3 linked regions of the Caenorhabditis elegans genome follow. The protein of the gene in region 1 purifies or fractionates together with the protein of each later gene. This does not show direct contact. Each region holds a gene or a part of one and is shown on either strand. Other genes may lie near its edges.

Region 1 (7,158 bases):
AACTACGATATAAAACTACTGTATTGCTAATTTAGTGACTAGGTTTTCTTTGAGTTAACTTCTAAGACGAGCTCATTGCTTTGCGTAGACGTCTATATTTTAATTATTCTGTGGGAAAAGGAAGAAGCACATACATTAAGATTGGATTTTCCAGGTGAAATTCGTCATTACTCTCGAGCGACATTACTATTCAAAAAAGCTAGGCAAGAAAGCCGTTCAAATTTTTACGTATTCGTGTTATTACTCTCCAAACCCTCACAATTCTGAAAAATTCAGAAGCACATGAGCCAATTTAAATATGTTAATCACTTTGACATAGAATCATCTGTCCCACTTCCCCGTAGGTAAATGAAATCACAATTAATATGCAGGTGAAAATGCTAACGATTTCCATGCAAACTACAACCACGTCAATTGAAGATCGAAGTTCCATTTTGAAATGAAACTAAATGCGACTACAATGATAGAAAAGGATTAGAAATTTTGGAGAAAAAATATGATAATTCTTTAGAAATCCTTGATTGGAATTATTGTCATGCAATATAAATCACAGGTTATGTGACTTTTGATAAATTGAAGATTTCATAATTCCAGGAATACATCTAAGAATCCAAAAATCATTTACTATATAAAAAGCGCTTATTCTGTGTGTCCATATTTTGTAGTCAATGTAGTCTTTGTAGTCTGTGAAGTTTTGGCTTCTGTGGGGATAGTGAGTTGGGGTTAGTGTAGGGATATAGTCGGGGTACTGTAGTGGTACAATAGTGGTAAGGTAGGAATACTGTAGGGTTACGGTAGTTTCAGAAAAATAAGATTTCAGCCCCAGAAGTCGGGGGCCGCGCCGGAGGTGCGGTCCACGGCTGGTAGTATTAATAATTAAAAATGACAAATTATTTTGATTCTTCTTAATATTTTTCTTTCTCTAAATAATTGTCGTAAATAGTTTCGTAAGGATTTCATCATTTTAAAGGTACACGTGCATTCTTTCGGTGGTTCTCGACACGATCTCCATAATTTTTTATCTACCGAAAGTTTATCAAGTTTTCCATTCAAGACTGAAGCATATGAATTTCTACATTCCAAATTGCACAAATGGCAAGAGTTACCAAAAAATAACGCTTCCAATCAAAAACTTTTGGCTTCTAGAGATTTTTTCTTCAAAAGTAGTACTATATTCTGAGCTTTTTTGCAAAAACAAAGTTAAAATAAGTTTAGCTTTTTATAATTAAAGTTCTTCTCCATTCTTTTTTTAATGAATAAAACCTGTACCTGTGCAAAAACCGTAACGAGAATTGAGACGAAAATGACAAAAAGCCGGCAATTCATTTTGTGTAGGAAGACCAAAGAAAGAGAATACTGGAAATTAATAATTATTTTGAAAACAGATCTGAAAATAAGACAGTATCAATAAAGGCGACTAATGAAATTATTATTTACTCTCTAAAAGAACGAAAAGGGTTGTTTTCCCGACCTATTATGAGACTGACTGAGTCTCAACTGACGTGTTGTGCATTTTCTAAGCTCCAGTCTTGCTCTCTTGGCCCCGCCCTTCTCGAGATTTTGACGCCGCCCTCTCATTCTTAATACACGGCTTCGCGTAGTGTAGTGAACAGAGCACTTTCGAACATTACTCGCACTGAAGTTTATATGTGAAGTCAATTCTAAAACATTTACGCTGGATTATACAAGTTTATTCATTAAGAAGAAAACAGAGTAACAACAAGATGTAGGGGTCCAACAGTCAACAAAAACAAAATAGTTCAACATGGGGGAGTTACATTCATAAAACAAAAAAGATCAGTGGTGTAGTGATGATGAAGATTACTCGTCTCCAGCCTTGCTCTTCTTCTTCTTCTTTGGCTTTGGAGCATCCTCGTCAACCTCAGCTTCAGCAGTTGCAGTGACAGACTCTTCAGCAAGACGCTTGGCTTTCTTGGCAGCCTTCTTCTTCTTTTTGATGACCTGAAATACAATTTTTAATTGATTGTTTCCTTAAAAGATAGATCATGAGTTTAAAATGAGAGAAACCCAGCTAAAAATTCTTCAATGGATAATTATATCGCATGCAAGCTAAACGGCCGAATTAAAACAATTTGCCCGCATTAAATACATGCTAAATAGGAAATTTGCGCAAAACTGTACCTTCTCCTTAACCTCAACGGCAGCTTCCTCGGCCTCCTTCATGACGTCAATGTTTTTCTTTGGAACAGTTCCGGAGGTGAAATACTCAAGTCTATCCTCAACCTGTTGGCGAAGGAATTCTCCATATGTCGAAACTGGAGTCTCGGAGAAGCAATCCACACGAGCAGCAATGGAGCACTTGTTAGCAAGATATCTGGACACACGACCCTTGTTCTTGGTTCCAGCTTTTCCAATGAAGCTGGAGTGGAAGAGAAGTCCATACTTTGGAGTGTTGGCTGAAAATGTACCAATTTCAGAAAAATCATAGACTCGAATATGACCGAGTGCAGCGAATAAAATCTTCAATAGAAAATAATTTTGCATGCAAGCTAAACGGCTGAACTAAAATCATCCACCCGCATTAAATACATGCCATCAATTAATGATACATTTTTCATGACTTACATCTGGTCTTCAAGGCACGGAAAAGAGCCTTCTCTGCTCCGAGGATTTGGACAGTGGACGCTGGATACTTGGCCAAGTTGGTCAGCGAACCAGCATGCGAGATCAAGCGAGCACCAACTTGTTCTCCGATAAGAGCACTGAGAGAAGGAGCACAGTGGTCCATACGATCTTTAATGTACTCGTGAAGTTGTTGTCTATACTCCATGAGAGAAGAGACACGAGCGGCGAATCTCTTGATGTTCTCAAGATCGAGATCGGAAATATCCATTCCCATTGATGTTCTGGCCGCTTCGATGATCTGAGCGGTTTTCTCGGAATCATTGTCAAGAATTTCTGAAAAAGGAAAGAATATTTGTGGGACACACAAAGTGACCGAAAACATCAAAACATTCTCGGTGTCTGGTTGTCTCTATGCTTTACCTCTCATTTTACTAGTGAACTTAACAAAATGCTAGTCCCCCGGCTTATAAGAGAGGTTACCCAAAATCTACATTTTGAACTATAATACTTACCAAGAATCTCATTCTCGAGGTTCTCATTTTCAGCCATCTTGTTTCTGTCCAAGATAGCGACAGCAAGGCGAGAGTACTTGTATTGATCTGGAGCCAGACGGAAGAGCTCTGGATAATGGTAAGAGTACCATTCACGGATTCTCATTCCAAAAAGATTGATATCCTTGTCCAACTGATCGAGAAGGGCAATCGATTGAATAACCATGTTGTCCACACGATGCACATCGAATTTGACCTATCAAAAAACATTTAGAGAAAAAAGCGCGATCGAGGTACGCACCTTCGAACGAGAGTAACTATGACCGAGAGAAAGCTGAGCTTTCGATAAGGAGTGATGTGGGAGATTTTTGGCCAAACGCTCGAAATGAACACGAGTACCACGCAGAATCTAAACTCAAAATATGTGTTTTCGTCATCGGTAACAGATTCAGGTAAACTCCAAAGAGTTTATTGTGAATCTTCACGTTACCTCGGTGATAACACCTCCGAAGACAAGCTTCAGATCTGGGAACGCTTCAGTAAGCGAACCCGCAAGCTTCGAGTCATTGATTCCAAGCACAACGTGTTTTTTCTTTTTTGGAAGCGACTTTTGAAGAAAATTAGTGAGATCAGGGTGGGCGAGACCTAATAATTAAAATAATTACTCCCCATCAAAACTTATCGGTCTTTGTTACCTTCAGAGATGGAGTTGCAGTTTTCCAATGCAGCTTCGGTGTTTTTGAACGGATCAAACGAAGCAAGCTCAACGATTTGCGAGAACTTGTATCCATCAGCATGAGCGGCATCGACCTGAAAATGCGTTAATTTAAGCACTAAACTGTGGGACATACGAAGTGACCGAATATATCACAACATAATCGGTGTCTGGATGTCTCTATAATTTTCCTCGCGTTTTACTAGTGAACTCAGCAAAGGCTAGTCCCCCGGCTTATAAGCGAGGATATTTTAAAAATACTTTTTTCGAGCGAACGTACCTCTTGGAGGATAAGACCAGCATCATCAAACTCCTTAATCTTCATGAGAGCGTATCCAGCTGCATGCTCATAGAGCACGAAGTGGGGAACTTCCGACATGGTGTAAGAACCTGAAAAATCATTTATTCAAGAAAACCAAAAAGGGTGCAAAAACTGTGAGACTTTAAGTAAAGAAGAATTGATAGAACATTAATGTAATTGTTTATAAATACATCTTTCCTTATCATTCCAGTAATAAATAAATAAATAAAAACCGAAATTGGATCGATAAGTATCAAAAATAGGCCGGAGAAAAAATAAGGACGAATCAAAAAGACGACGGCGTACCTCTTTCGCTGCGAGACCTATTCGCAAAAGAGTGTGTGCCTTTACTACTCGTGAACTCCACTCGGACAAAATAATGGCAGTGGAGAAAATTACGCCAGTAAAACGTTTTATTAGAAATTTCTATAGAAATGAAAAAAGACGAACGAAATATTATCGGGAAAAATCGAAATTTTTCTAGCCGTTCACCAGAATCGATGTGCTTAGAATTTATTTTCAGAATGTAAATAAATCCAGATCAAGAAAACATGACGTGGAGGTTTTTGAATGAACGAATATACTGAAGCACGTATTTAAAAATTATTTAACACGAAGTTGGGCGCAGACGTTCGAAAATGAATTATTGAATAAGGGCATTTTGTAAAATCGGAATTAAAAAAATAATGGTGATCATGAATTGAATAATTTATTGAATAGACTGAATACAAATGTTTCAACAAACAACAATAAAGAGAAAAAACTACGGAGACGACTTCAAATAATTACTTGGTGTGTTTCTTCTCAAATTTGGAATTCATGTAGGCTGCCATCGGATCAGCAGAATGAACACTTGTCACACGATAAGCCTCCATTTCTTTTTCGTTCGGTGCAGTGTTGGAGTAGTCAGTGTTGTATTTACGGCCGCGATCACCCTGAACAAAGTATTTTATATTTTGAATTTTCAAGGAATATAATAGTACTAAGCGACCCGGATAAAATTAGTATTGGTAATCTTACCTCTCTTGCAGCTTTCATTCCTTCGGCCTTTTCCCGTTTCGCCTTCTTCATAGCTTTACGCATTTCTTCATCAGAATCAGATTCTGAACCACTTCCCGACGAAGGATCGCTTTCATCGTCCGAATCGCGATGACGCCTCTTTCTTTTCCCCAGCTTTGCCTTCTTGCGTTCACGCTTTTCACGTTTTTTATCACGACGCCGCTGGTCCCGTTCTCTTCGTTCTTTTTCAATTAACCTTTCCTTCTCGCGTTCTTTTTCTTTTTCTTCATCGTCACTTGGTGGTGATGGTGATATGGACTTCTCTGATACTTTTTCCTTTTCTTCGTCATTATCATTATCACTGTTTTCTTCTGCTACTTCATCCTTGATGGAATCTTCCTTCTCTTTTTCTTCTTTAACTTCAGTCTTCTCTACTAACTTCGGAACTTTGAAAATTTCTTCGTTTGAGGTCGTTGTACCTTTTGCTGCGCTCGTTTCAGCTTCAATTCCCTGCTTTCCCGTACAATATGAGTTCTTGACGAATTGATGACAGCACTTATATCCCCACCGACCCTCTCTCCAGAAACTTCCGAACACTGATGTATGATTTTGGGGATATATATCTTCTTTGAAGCGAGAGCTAATTGCTACTTTTTCCTTTCCCTTGATAACTTTTCCTTTCCGATTGTATTCGATATAACTCTCAGTTTGTGCCAGTAGCAACTCATCCGCAGGCCTTTCCATGTGCTCACCTCCTCCGTATTTGTCTAATAACTCTTTCTGTGTTTCGTTTTTCAGAGTTGATTTTTCCTTCTCATACTCTTTTTTCAGTGCTTCTAACTTTGTAGGTTCAGCAATCGAGTGAGCATATACTCCACCACGAGTGGCTTGCCATGCAAAAACTTGGGCTTCGTTTGCTGCTGTTACTTCACCAGAATATCGAACAAAATTATCTCCAGAAAAACGAGCTGCTTCTAATTCTTTTCCAGCAACACCAGCAAATGGATTTTCGCGCATAGAACGAGATTTTGGATCGTAATATGGGGAATTTTCCGCCAAATTGTACAGATACTTGGCTGTATCTTCTCGAATTCGTAGGTTTCTCACTGTGATTCTAGTACGGGAATCCATATCCACCGAAACTCCAGCCATATCCGCATCTTCTGCATACATATCCTCATCTTTTGGAGCTCCATCCTCCGTTGTAGCTGGTTCAACTTCTCCCTCTTTCATTTCATGCTCTCTGACCACTTTTCTAGCTTCTTCAAGATGCTCATAGTCTTCAATTACTTGTTTATGAGTAGATGGATCGTATCCATTCCAACGATCTCTTTTTGCATCAAATCCAAGTGTTAGATTCGGCTGTACGTAGTCATCTTCCGCGATATTATCATTGGTTTCCCTGAAATGAAAATTGTTTTTTTTTAAATTTGAAATGAACTTACTTTGCGTTAGATTTTCTAGGTCGGTCGAAACAATCTCTTTTCTGATGACCCATTGCTCCACAGTTTTCACAAGCCCCTTTACGAAACTTGGTTGCCGATTTTCCCGTTGTTCCTTTTTGGTACCACTCGTGAATTTGAGTCATCTTTTTCTCCCTTTCTTCATGCGGTCTCTGATGCTTCAAAGTGGGTCCTTCACTAGGTACGTACCACGGATTTTGTGAGATGAACATGGGAATATGTGGATTGATATCACGACCAGTCTGCACATCAACCATTGCAGGAGCAGTTCCAGCTTTTCGATCTTCCTGAAAATCAATATTTGCTAATGTTATTTTATGATTAGTGGTTTATAGCACAAATTATTGTAAACTCACTTCCAGTTGACGATCGCGCTGAACTTCAGCTTTGGATTTCTTATCTGCTACATTGACTTGCTGTTTAATTAACGCCGAAGGCGGTAAGTTCTGCTTATAAGACGCCATGAAGATGTCTGAAAATTAAGATATAGAAGTTTAGATTAATTTCCTCCAACAAATATAAAGAAACTTTGAGAATAAACACATCGCCGTTTTGTGGGCAACTAGACAAGAAGAGGTCCATTTTTTAATCAAAAAAGAGACG
Region 2 (4,696 bases), on another chromosome or scaffold:
AGGTAGCAAATTTTGATGATTTTTGGGTCAATATGGGTTTTAAATGTATCTTAATCGACGAAATTACATGATATAAACTACCAAAATATGCAATATAGGGCGAGAATTCAAAAAAGTCAACATCGGCCAGATGCGACACGGAAAAGTGGCCAAAATTCGAGATTTCAGCTAAAATCGGTGTCATTTTTTCGAAATTGTGAACCGCCATAACAGTTTGCGAAGTTTTATTACGAAATTCGTTCATTTGAGCTCATTTTGGGCCTGTGTTAGTCCTCCTTCAATAGAGTCCTCATGATTTAAAATTTCAGGGCAATCACGTTCATTCGGAAATTTTAGAGCCACAGAAGTGATGAAAAATAACCTCTCTGCAAAACGGAGCCATTAATTCGAGACTCGGCGGATGATGATCAGTCATATCGAAGCAAATAACATTTCCATCGAAGTTATCCGCATCGTAGTAGTATCCACCGCGCAGGTTAAACACCTTCACGTTGCCCTTTCCGTGCCGCCTGGTCAGAAATTGTTGAGTTTGAACTTTTGAGTTACGGAAATTCGCTTCGATTCCTGTTGCTGGATAACCGATAGCTATGATTCGGTCTGTGATATCTGAAAGTTTTGAAAATTGAAATGCTTTGAACTCAAGAGAAGTGCCTTACATGCACAATCTAGGTCGATATTTTGGTACTCGGTGCGACAACGATTGGAAGATACAGCCGTCCGAAAAATATGGCGAATCCGCTCGACGATTGAATTGTGATACGGTTCAGACACACGTGGTTCACCAGGTTGTCGGTTTGGATTCTCTTGAAGGTCACGAGCCATCGACCTGGTCGATGTGCTTGGCACATCTGGAGGAGGAGTAACCATTGGGGGTTAGTAGATGTACCTGGAAACTGCAAATTCATGAAGAGGAACGAATTAGAAGAGAATTTCAGCGAATTTTATAATTTAAACATTGTCAGGTGAAGTGTGATAGAATAGAATGCCAAATGAGCGCAAAGGATTAAGGGATTAACTAGCTCATGCTAAAGCTCAGATTTGTTCACGCAGAGAGCTCAGACCCGAGAGATACGAGAGGAGCAGAAAGACAGACTACATTTCCTCGTTAAGAATGAGCTGAAAAAGAGCTAGAAATCCGTTGAAAATCGCCAATATGCGTATTTTCGACTTAAAAAAAACAAGACTGATTTATTAGAAAATAATACCCGCCAGCGCCAATAGTAGAAGATCATATGAAATCATTTGATCAAAAAAGCAAAATTTTGGTCTACTGATTTATGAGCATTTTCAACCAAGAAATAGGAAGATTTCGGATATTTTTATAACCTACGTGTGGAAAATGTTTATTTGTATTGAAAAATCAAGAAAAAATGAATAAAAATTGTCGAAAAAGCAGATAAACACCGAAAAAGATCGGTTTCGCGGCGAAAAAACAAAATCCAAAAAATGTCTCTTAAAGGCGCACGCTAATTCAAACGGCACGGGTCTCGCCACGAACGCCTCTCTTCTCACTGCATTTTTCTCTTCTCTTCGATTTTTTTTTCGATATTTTTTAACGTTTTCCAATAGTTTTTATTGATTTTCTTGTTTAAAAACTGGCAAAAAACGAAATAATCGTTATTTATAAGTTGTATTTAGAGTCTAAAGTTTGTATAGTGCGATGAAATTCTTCGAAATAGGCGAAAATCAATTTCTTGTGATTTTCTTAATTTTCTCATATTTAGAAAATTGAAATTTCTGTGAATATTATGTACAAGAAAACCCCTTTTTGTTTTGCAATACCAATTTTTTCTATTGAATTTCTCAACAAATATATTTTTATGTCCAGTTTGATTTTATTTTGCACTTGAATAACTTTAAAGTTCAAAAATTGTTTGACATTTCAGAAATGAGTTTCCGTGGTGGACGTGGAGGCGGTGGTGGATTTCGAGGTGGTCGTGGTGGCGGTGGAGGCGGTGGATTCCGTGGAGGTCGCGGCGGTGACAGAGGTGGTGGCTTCCGTGGAGGACGCGGTGGATTCGGAGGGGGCGGCCGTGGAGGTTACGATCAGGGACCACCAGAGGAAGTTGTGCTCGTCGGTGTCTTCTCCCATCAGTGCCAAGATGATATTGTTTGCAACAATACGAGTGGAAAAATCCCATATTTCAATGCTCCAATTTACTTCAAGAATAAGGAACAAGTCGGAAAAATCGACGAGATTTTTGGATCCCCCGGGGAGAACGTAAGTAATCTCTTAATTGAAAATTAATCATAAATTTATTCGCTGCAGGGATTCTCCGTCACATTGTCACAAGGAGTAAAAGCCTCTTCATTCGAACCAGAGTCTCAGCTGTACATTGATCCCGGAAAGCTTTTACCAGTTGATCGTTTCCTTCCACAAGCCGGCGGAGGGCGTGGAAGAGGTGGTCGCGGACGCGGTGGGGATCGTGGAGGACGTGGCAGTGACCGTGGAGGTCGTGGAGGCTTTGGAAGAGGCGGCGGCGGTGGATTCAGAGGCGGGGATCGCGGAGGTTTTGGCGGTGGTCGTGGAGGATTCCGAGGCGGAGACCGTGGAGGGTTCCGTGGTGGCCGTGGAGGAGACTTCGGAGGTCGCGGACGTGGAGACTTCAAACGATCATACGATGGTGGAAGTTTCGGAGGACAGAATAATAAGAGAACTAAATTCGAATAATTGTTTCTTCTCTAAAAAACTGTATGTTCCAATTGTTTTCATCCTTTTTTTTTACCAATTGTTGATTTTCTTTGTTTTCCTTTTCTCATCTGCCCTCATTTTTTGATCACTTTTTTGTTGAACTTGTTGGTATTTTATACACATTATAATAATCATATAATTTAGTTATTTTATTTCACTAATCACACAGCGCTCTGAGGCAAGCATTTTTGGCGAATAAAATTTGGAGTTCGCATTTAAGCGCGCTTTGATATATCGTTCTTATAACATTTTTTAATCGCCGCAACCAAGTTCCAGCCATTAATTTGACAGATTACACTGGAAAATTATATATTTAGCTTGAGAACAAAATCTAGAAAGTAGTAAAGTAGCAATTAGCAATTGAAATTTTGCAATACAGGTTAACTTTTGAAATTTGAAATTTTAACAGAATAGAGCTCTCAATCAAAACGGCTGAAGATAAAAATAATTCTGAGCGATTTTCATTGTTCTAATCTCAGCAGTGTACATACTGTACCACGCCACAAAAGGCGGGGCCTAAATATGAGGTTTTCTGCAGTACACGCCACGCAGTTTTCTTATTTTGAGTGTATTGCGCAACATACTTGACGCGCAAAATATCTCGTAGCCAAAACTACAGTAACTCTTAGAAGGACTACTGCAGTAGCTACTGTAGCTTTTGTGTCGATTTACGGGCTCAATTTATTATGGTGCGTCCATAGTCTGCGGAAAACGAAAATTTCCCGCGACCCGAGGCGTCCATAGTATGCGGAAAAATTGAGCGAGTTTCTCGCTTCGTTATTGGTCAATTTCAAAAGTGGCCGTGCCCAACCAATTAGAGGCTGTAAAATTTTGAGCTGAACAATGGGAAAGTGGAAAAACTGCAGGCCACGCCTACTTTTTTGAATTTTGAGGAAAACAATGCGTGGAAACTCCGTTTTTTCCCTGCACTATAGACGCCTCGGACCGCGGGAAATTCCCGTTTTCCTGAGACTATGGACGCACCATTAAATGATTTAAAAAATTAATTGATCTACTTGTTCGATAATCAATGATAAATCAGCCAGATACTGAATTTTTTCAGTAAAATGTTCTTTAAAACTTTTTGAAAGTAACAATTATTTCAGTATTTTATTATTTCTTCCAAATTCCATCTAAAAAATTTGAACAATCGCGGAATTTTGTCCCATTCGGTAAGTGTGCAAGCGCGCTCTAACGCACTCTTTGAAGTTTCATTCTCCAAAAATCCTTGCCCCAGAGCGCTGTGTAAAATCTTTAGTTTAGTTATTTGAAATCCTTCATTGGCCTTTGCATTTCACGAAAAGTTGATCCAACGTTGGACATTGGAATCCCTGCACAGCAATGAGGTCATAGAATCCACCAAGAGAGTCCTGAAGACCTCGAATAATGGCTCCGAAGGTGTCCGGTTGGAAGAGCGCTTGACAAAGGTCATCATTAAAAAGGGGGCATGCCTCACCAAGCGCTGCCTTTACGGTTGCCAACATTGGATTCTCAAGAATGTCTGAATGGATAATATTTGGATTTCCAGAGAATAACAAACGATCTTACTATAGTTTATATACTTGAGAACATCGTAAACCAAGAAGCATAATGTGCATTGAGTATTGCTAACATCTTCACTGATCACCATGGCTTTGAAGTTGCTAGAACATTTCTCAACTGCAGTGGAGATCGCATTCCAGGATTTTTCAAAATTTTCAGGCGTTTTCTGGATTTCCGAATGTAACGTGAAAATGATCTGTAAACGTTTAGTATTTTCGTTAACGCAACAATTTAGATTGATTCCAAAATTCACCTCACAATCACTCATCTTGACTGCACATCCTTCGAATTTCAGACAATGAGCCACTGCATTGTCACTTGGAACTTTTACATTTTTTTCAGCGACCGCCAATCCCAAGAATTGACATGCGGCACATTGTAGCTTCAGCTGCTCCACGTGATTAACGTGGTTTTCCGAATTCGCTGCGGGACCCGCTTGGGCGACAACAATCACGAATAATA
Region 3 (4,178 bases), on another chromosome or scaffold:
GAGAAAGTGCCATATTTATAGTAACATTATCTCTTCCATGAGTTCCAAATCCTGGCCAATACTTGGATACTGGGTCATCATATCTCAATTTTCCTTGCTCGTAGAGCAGTGCAACTGCTAATGACGCGGCAGCTTTTGTAGTCGAGAACGTCACTGTTATTGTGTCCTGAAACAATCAATTTTTTTAAAAATTTTTGTGTTTTGCTGATATGTCACAACTTTTTTCAAAAATGTTTTCTCTGTTTTTGTGCCATTCCATTCAATTTTATAGACTTCAAAAACCGTTTTGAACCGAAAAACTCCCCGTATCAAATTGATATTATTATCAGTTCATATCAATCTGACGACAGTGGAAAAATATATGTCGAAGCTATGAGGGAAACCGACGATAAATTATTCCAAATAAGGGCAAAGTATTAGATTGGGTTAAAGTTTGGAAATTCAGGTGCGAAATTTTGAGTCAAAAATACTGTCTCGACACGACAAGTTTCATGATTTTTTTAATTACTTAATACATTATGGAAACAAAAAAAGCTTACGAAAATAATGAGAAAACTACGATAAATCGATAAAAACTCCGCAACAACAGATGTTAAAAGTTACAGTATTCTTTAAAGGCGCACGTCTTTTCGCATTTATTATAAATGTGTCGTGGTTAAACCTATGGAACCGTATTTTTGTGTGCACCTTTAAACAGTACTGTAATTTTGAACTTATATTGCAGCGGAATTTTTCTTATCGATTTTTCGTAGTTTTTCGATAAAAACAAATTTACTTATTGGAAAAAAAACCAAATCTCGAGGAAAATTATTTTTTAATCGAAAAAAAACCTGGGGAACCGTATTTTTGGTGCAAAAAACCCAAGATTTATAGTAAAAAAGTTTGAAATTGAAAAATGCTTGATTTTATTTTTTTTGTTTTCAAAAATCTACCTCAGCCCACTTCCTTGCCGCCTGCTTATCAGCATATCCACCCCATAAATCGACGACTTTCTTTCCATCAACAAATACAGCGAATGCTGATCCTTCGATTTCCCATCCATTTTCGAAATTCTTTCTGTAAAAATACAAGTTCCAGGATTTTTGCAAGACATTTTCCTTTTCTTTTTTTTAAAATAAAATAAAGATGACGATAGAAAAAGATTATTTGCCTGTACGCATGCCGGCAAAGTAAATATTAATTTCAGTTCAGTCAAACACATTTGTCACTTCACACGGGTAGAAAAATGAGAAAAAAAGAGAGCAGGAAGGTCGAACTTACTTAAAAACCTCTCGAACTTTCTCGAAACGTTCATCGACAAATCCACTAACATCGGATTTGTGATTTGAATATAACCGATCACATACAAAGCGATAAGTTACAGATAATAAAACTGTGGCTAGAAATAGTTTGAAGAGTAGAGAAAACTGTTGCATGTTGGTGGGAACACGGAGCGGCGGGAATGGAGAGACAGAGCACACGGAGATGGGCGGTGCTTGCCTTGCCAGAAACCGTCTTTTCTCCCGGAGGAAGCGACTCCCTGTAGTTATCAGCGATTGCCTTTTTTTTGGCGGCCCTATCGGGTTGTGACGGCGTTTGGGGTGGAATTAGCAAGCCAATGGTTAGGAAGAGACACATTCTAGGGCAAACGGGGGTCGAATTAGAATGCAACCGGTTCCGGGAGGTTTATTTACTCGCATCATCATACGCCAATGAAGTACTTGTGTGTCCAAGATACACTTTAGAACAGTGTAGCCGATTATGCAATTTGATAACAATCAGATGTCCATGTTTCGCAGAAACGTTCATTCTTTTTCAAAAACGATGTATTTGCAATTTGGGACAACAAAACAATGAATGGATTATCATATAACAACAATGAGGTAACGTAACAACAAATTGATAAAAGAAGGATTTAGATGAGAAGCTTCTCAACGTCCTCCTTGATCTTCTGAATTTGAGATTTGAGCTGAGATCCTTCGTTTTGAGTGATTGAAGCAGCGATCACTGGACGAGTGACTCCACAAGCGCGTCCGAGGGCAGCCTTGCTGCGAACAAAGACGTATGGAACGTTCTTGTCTTCGCAGAGAAGTGGAAGATGGAGGAGAATCTCCAGTGGCTCGGCATCGGCGGCCATGACGATGATCTGAAACAATTCAATTAATTTGGTTCGAAAATTGATTTTGAAAATGGGAATGCAATTCAACATGGTTACGATACACTTACCTCAGAGATTCCTCTGTTGAGAGTCTTGGTGGCCTCGTTGGCTCCCTTCTTGAGCTGTTTGTAGTTCATCGCTTGCTGGACGAGATCCATGAGCTTTTGAGACAAGTTGGTATCGGCCAGTGGGAAGGCCTTCGGATTGACTCCATCATCGGCCATTTTTCTTCTTTTCTGAAATAAAGATGGTTGAAAATTGCTACAATGCGAAAGAATTATTTATCGATTCAAGAGAAAAAATAATAAAAACGATTTCAAAGCTGTAAATTCAAATTTTTACGATGATTTGCACTAGTAACATATCTGAAAGTAATAGATAATCAAAATTCCATTTATTTTTAATTTATTGTACCAACTTATTTAATTTCCGAAGAAAAATACAACGGGCAACGGGAGAAACAAAAGAAAAGAGAAAAAAACTACTTGTAATTTTCGAAAAGGGCCCAAAAAGAGACGCAGACAGTGGACGGGTCTCGCAGCGACAAGATGTTGGCACGCTGCCAAACATGCAGTGATTCTTTTTTATTCGAATTTGGCTGCATTTATTTTCGATTTAACCTGAATTTTACATGTTTTATCTGATTTTTATCGATTTTAAACGAAATTTCGATAAAAATCTAACTTTTTCTAATAGTTTATGCCTTTTCGATAGATTTTTACATGTTAATTTTGAAATTACGTCGCCGGTTTAAATTTATTGAACTACATTTTGTTTTTCTATTTTTCAAGACGAAAATTGATTATTTTATTTTCAGGAATGTCGGGGGAGGAGAAAGAAAAAGTAAAAATTCTCCATGTCGCCAACATTTCGACATCGGCTACCAGGGATCACATCTACAACATGTTCAACTATCTCGGAAAAATTCAGGATTTGAAGGTTGGTTTATTATTCCAAATTTACACATTTTTCGATTAAAAATTTCAATTAAAAATTTATTCTTTCAGGTCTATCCATCAGAAGGTAATATCACAGCTAATACTCTCCTGAAAACTGCTTTTATCAAGTTCGACGACGAGCGATGTGTCGAAGTAGCTCAGCATCTCACCAACACAGTCGTCATCGATTGCGCGATAGTCTGCCTACCATATCCGAATCGTGAGTTTTTTGAAAGCTGCATTTTTTCATAAAGTTTCATTTTTTCAGCTGTGATTCCGGACGAGGAGAGTTTTTTCAACAGTGGTGGATCTACAACGGCTGGTCAGCGACAGCTCCCACCTCACGTCACCAATAAAATTCAAGAATCTGACGATGGATCTGCTTTGGTAAGTTTATTTTCCCACTAGTTTTCCAACTAGCGTCTGGTGGTAACGGACGTTACTTGTTCATTTTACAGTTCTACTGGCCACTACCCAAATGACGAATGCAGTAAAATCCCGAAAGCGTAATCCAGAAAATCATCAAAAAACTTTGTTAGTACTCGCCGAATGATTAAATTTTCAGTTTCAGTGTATCCTCGCCAATCTATGCTGCGCATCGTCGGATATGAAAGCAATTAAATTTAGAAATTTTCAAATTCCTGATATTTTAGAAATTGCAATATTTCTAGTTTTCGCGCCGTCTAATTATTCCATTTTTCAGTTGATTACAGTCGATCCGACACTGGAGCAGCTCGGACTACCGGCTTATCCACCTCTACCGGCTGACACGGATTCTGCCAAAGTCGAAGAAATTCGAAGAACAGTCTACGTTGGAAATCTTCCGAAAGGTGTTGATGGAAACGAGGTTCTCGAACTGTTCAACATGTATTTTGGAGAGGTAGGTTAAAAACGATATTTTTGAAAGATTTATTTCTATCAATGTGCATTTATTGGCATTTTCATTCCTCTCTTGCTAGATCGACTTGCAATTGAAATTTGGCTTGACGGGCTTCCAGATCTAGAAAATATCAGTTAGAAATCAAGTTATCAGAAACATAGAAAATTACCTATCCTTGAACTTAAAAATTGTATTATCAATAAGCCATTTCTCGAAGAAAACA

Evidence for each region. The genes of interacting proteins can lie anywhere in the genome.
Region 2: the proteins of nol-56 (region 1) and garr-1 fractionate together in Caenorhabditis elegans (co-fractionation; one large-scale study listed by BioGRID). This does not show direct contact.
Region 3: the proteins of nol-56 (region 1) and snu-13 fractionate together in Caenorhabditis elegans (co-fractionation; one large-scale study listed by BioGRID). This does not show direct contact.

The regions. Positions count from the first base shown.
Region 1 is NC_003283.11:10,348,797-10,355,954, forward strand, and holds nol-56 (Nucleolar protein 56), read right to left. Parts: upstream 4,183-7,158; 5' UTR 4,172-4,182; coding exon 4,073-4,171; intron 4,041-4,072; exon of another isoform or gene 3,914-4,040; intron 3,888-3,913; coding exon 3,773-3,887; intron 3,723-3,772; coding exon 3,568-3,722; intron 3,487-3,567; coding exon 3,379-3,486; intron 3,334-3,378; coding exon 3,099-3,333; intron 3,067-3,098; exon of another isoform or gene 2,937-3,066; intron 2,920-2,936; coding exon 2,587-2,919; intron 2,558-2,586; exon of another isoform or gene 2,422-2,557; intron 2,418-2,421; coding exon 2,143-2,417; intron 2,117-2,142; exon of another isoform or gene 1,984-2,116; intron 1,963-1,983; coding exon 1,822-1,962; 3' UTR 1,675-1,821; downstream 1-1,674. Other genes in the region: nssp-62 (Neuropeptide-Like Protein), read right to left, coding at 1,270-1,326; sluh-7 (Pre-mRNA-splicing factor SLU7), read right to left, coding at 4,879-5,028, 5,114-6,494, 6,538-6,842, 6,912-7,019. UniProt on the Caenorhabditis elegans protein: Required for 60S ribosomal subunit synthesis.
Region 2 is NC_003282.8:424,282-428,977, forward strand, and holds garr-1 (putative H/ACA ribonucleoprotein complex subunit 1-like protein), read left to right. Parts: upstream 1-1,886; 5' UTR 1,887-1,888; coding exon 1,889-2,221; intron 2,222-2,269; coding exon 2,270-2,671; 3' UTR 2,672-2,923; downstream 2,924-4,696. Other genes in the region: Phosphatidylinositol 3,4,5-trisphosphate 3-phosphatase and dual-specificity protein phosphatase daf-18, read right to left, coding at 362-606, 657-867; Y66H1A.5 (Saposin B-type domain-containing protein), read right to left, coding at 3,970-4,193, 4,241-4,430, 4,488-4,696. UniProt on the Caenorhabditis elegans protein: Required for ribosome biogenesis. Part of a complex which catalyzes pseudouridylation of rRNA. This involves the isomerization of uridine such that the ribose is subsequently attached to C5, instead of the normal N1.
Region 3 is NC_003280.10:10,656,254-10,660,431, forward strand, and holds snu-13 (Small nuclear ribonucleoprotein associated homolog 13), read right to left. Parts: upstream 2,374-4,178; 5' UTR 2,362-2,373; coding exon 2,206-2,361; intron 2,126-2,205; coding exon 1,895-2,125; 3' UTR 1,774-1,894; downstream 1-1,773. Other genes in the region: lact-3 (Beta-lactamase-related domain-containing protein), read right to left, coding at 1-166, 933-1,056, 1,261-1,415; rsp-7 (putative splicing factor, arginine/serine-rich 7), read left to right, coding at 2,957-3,076, 3,145-3,295, 3,344-3,462, 3,779-3,955; marc-2 (RING-CH-type domain-containing protein), read right to left, coding at 3,994-4,075, 4,125-4,178. UniProt on the Caenorhabditis elegans protein: Binds to the 5'-stem-loop of U4 snRNA and may play a role in the late stage of spliceosome assembly. The protein undergoes a conformational change upon RNA-binding.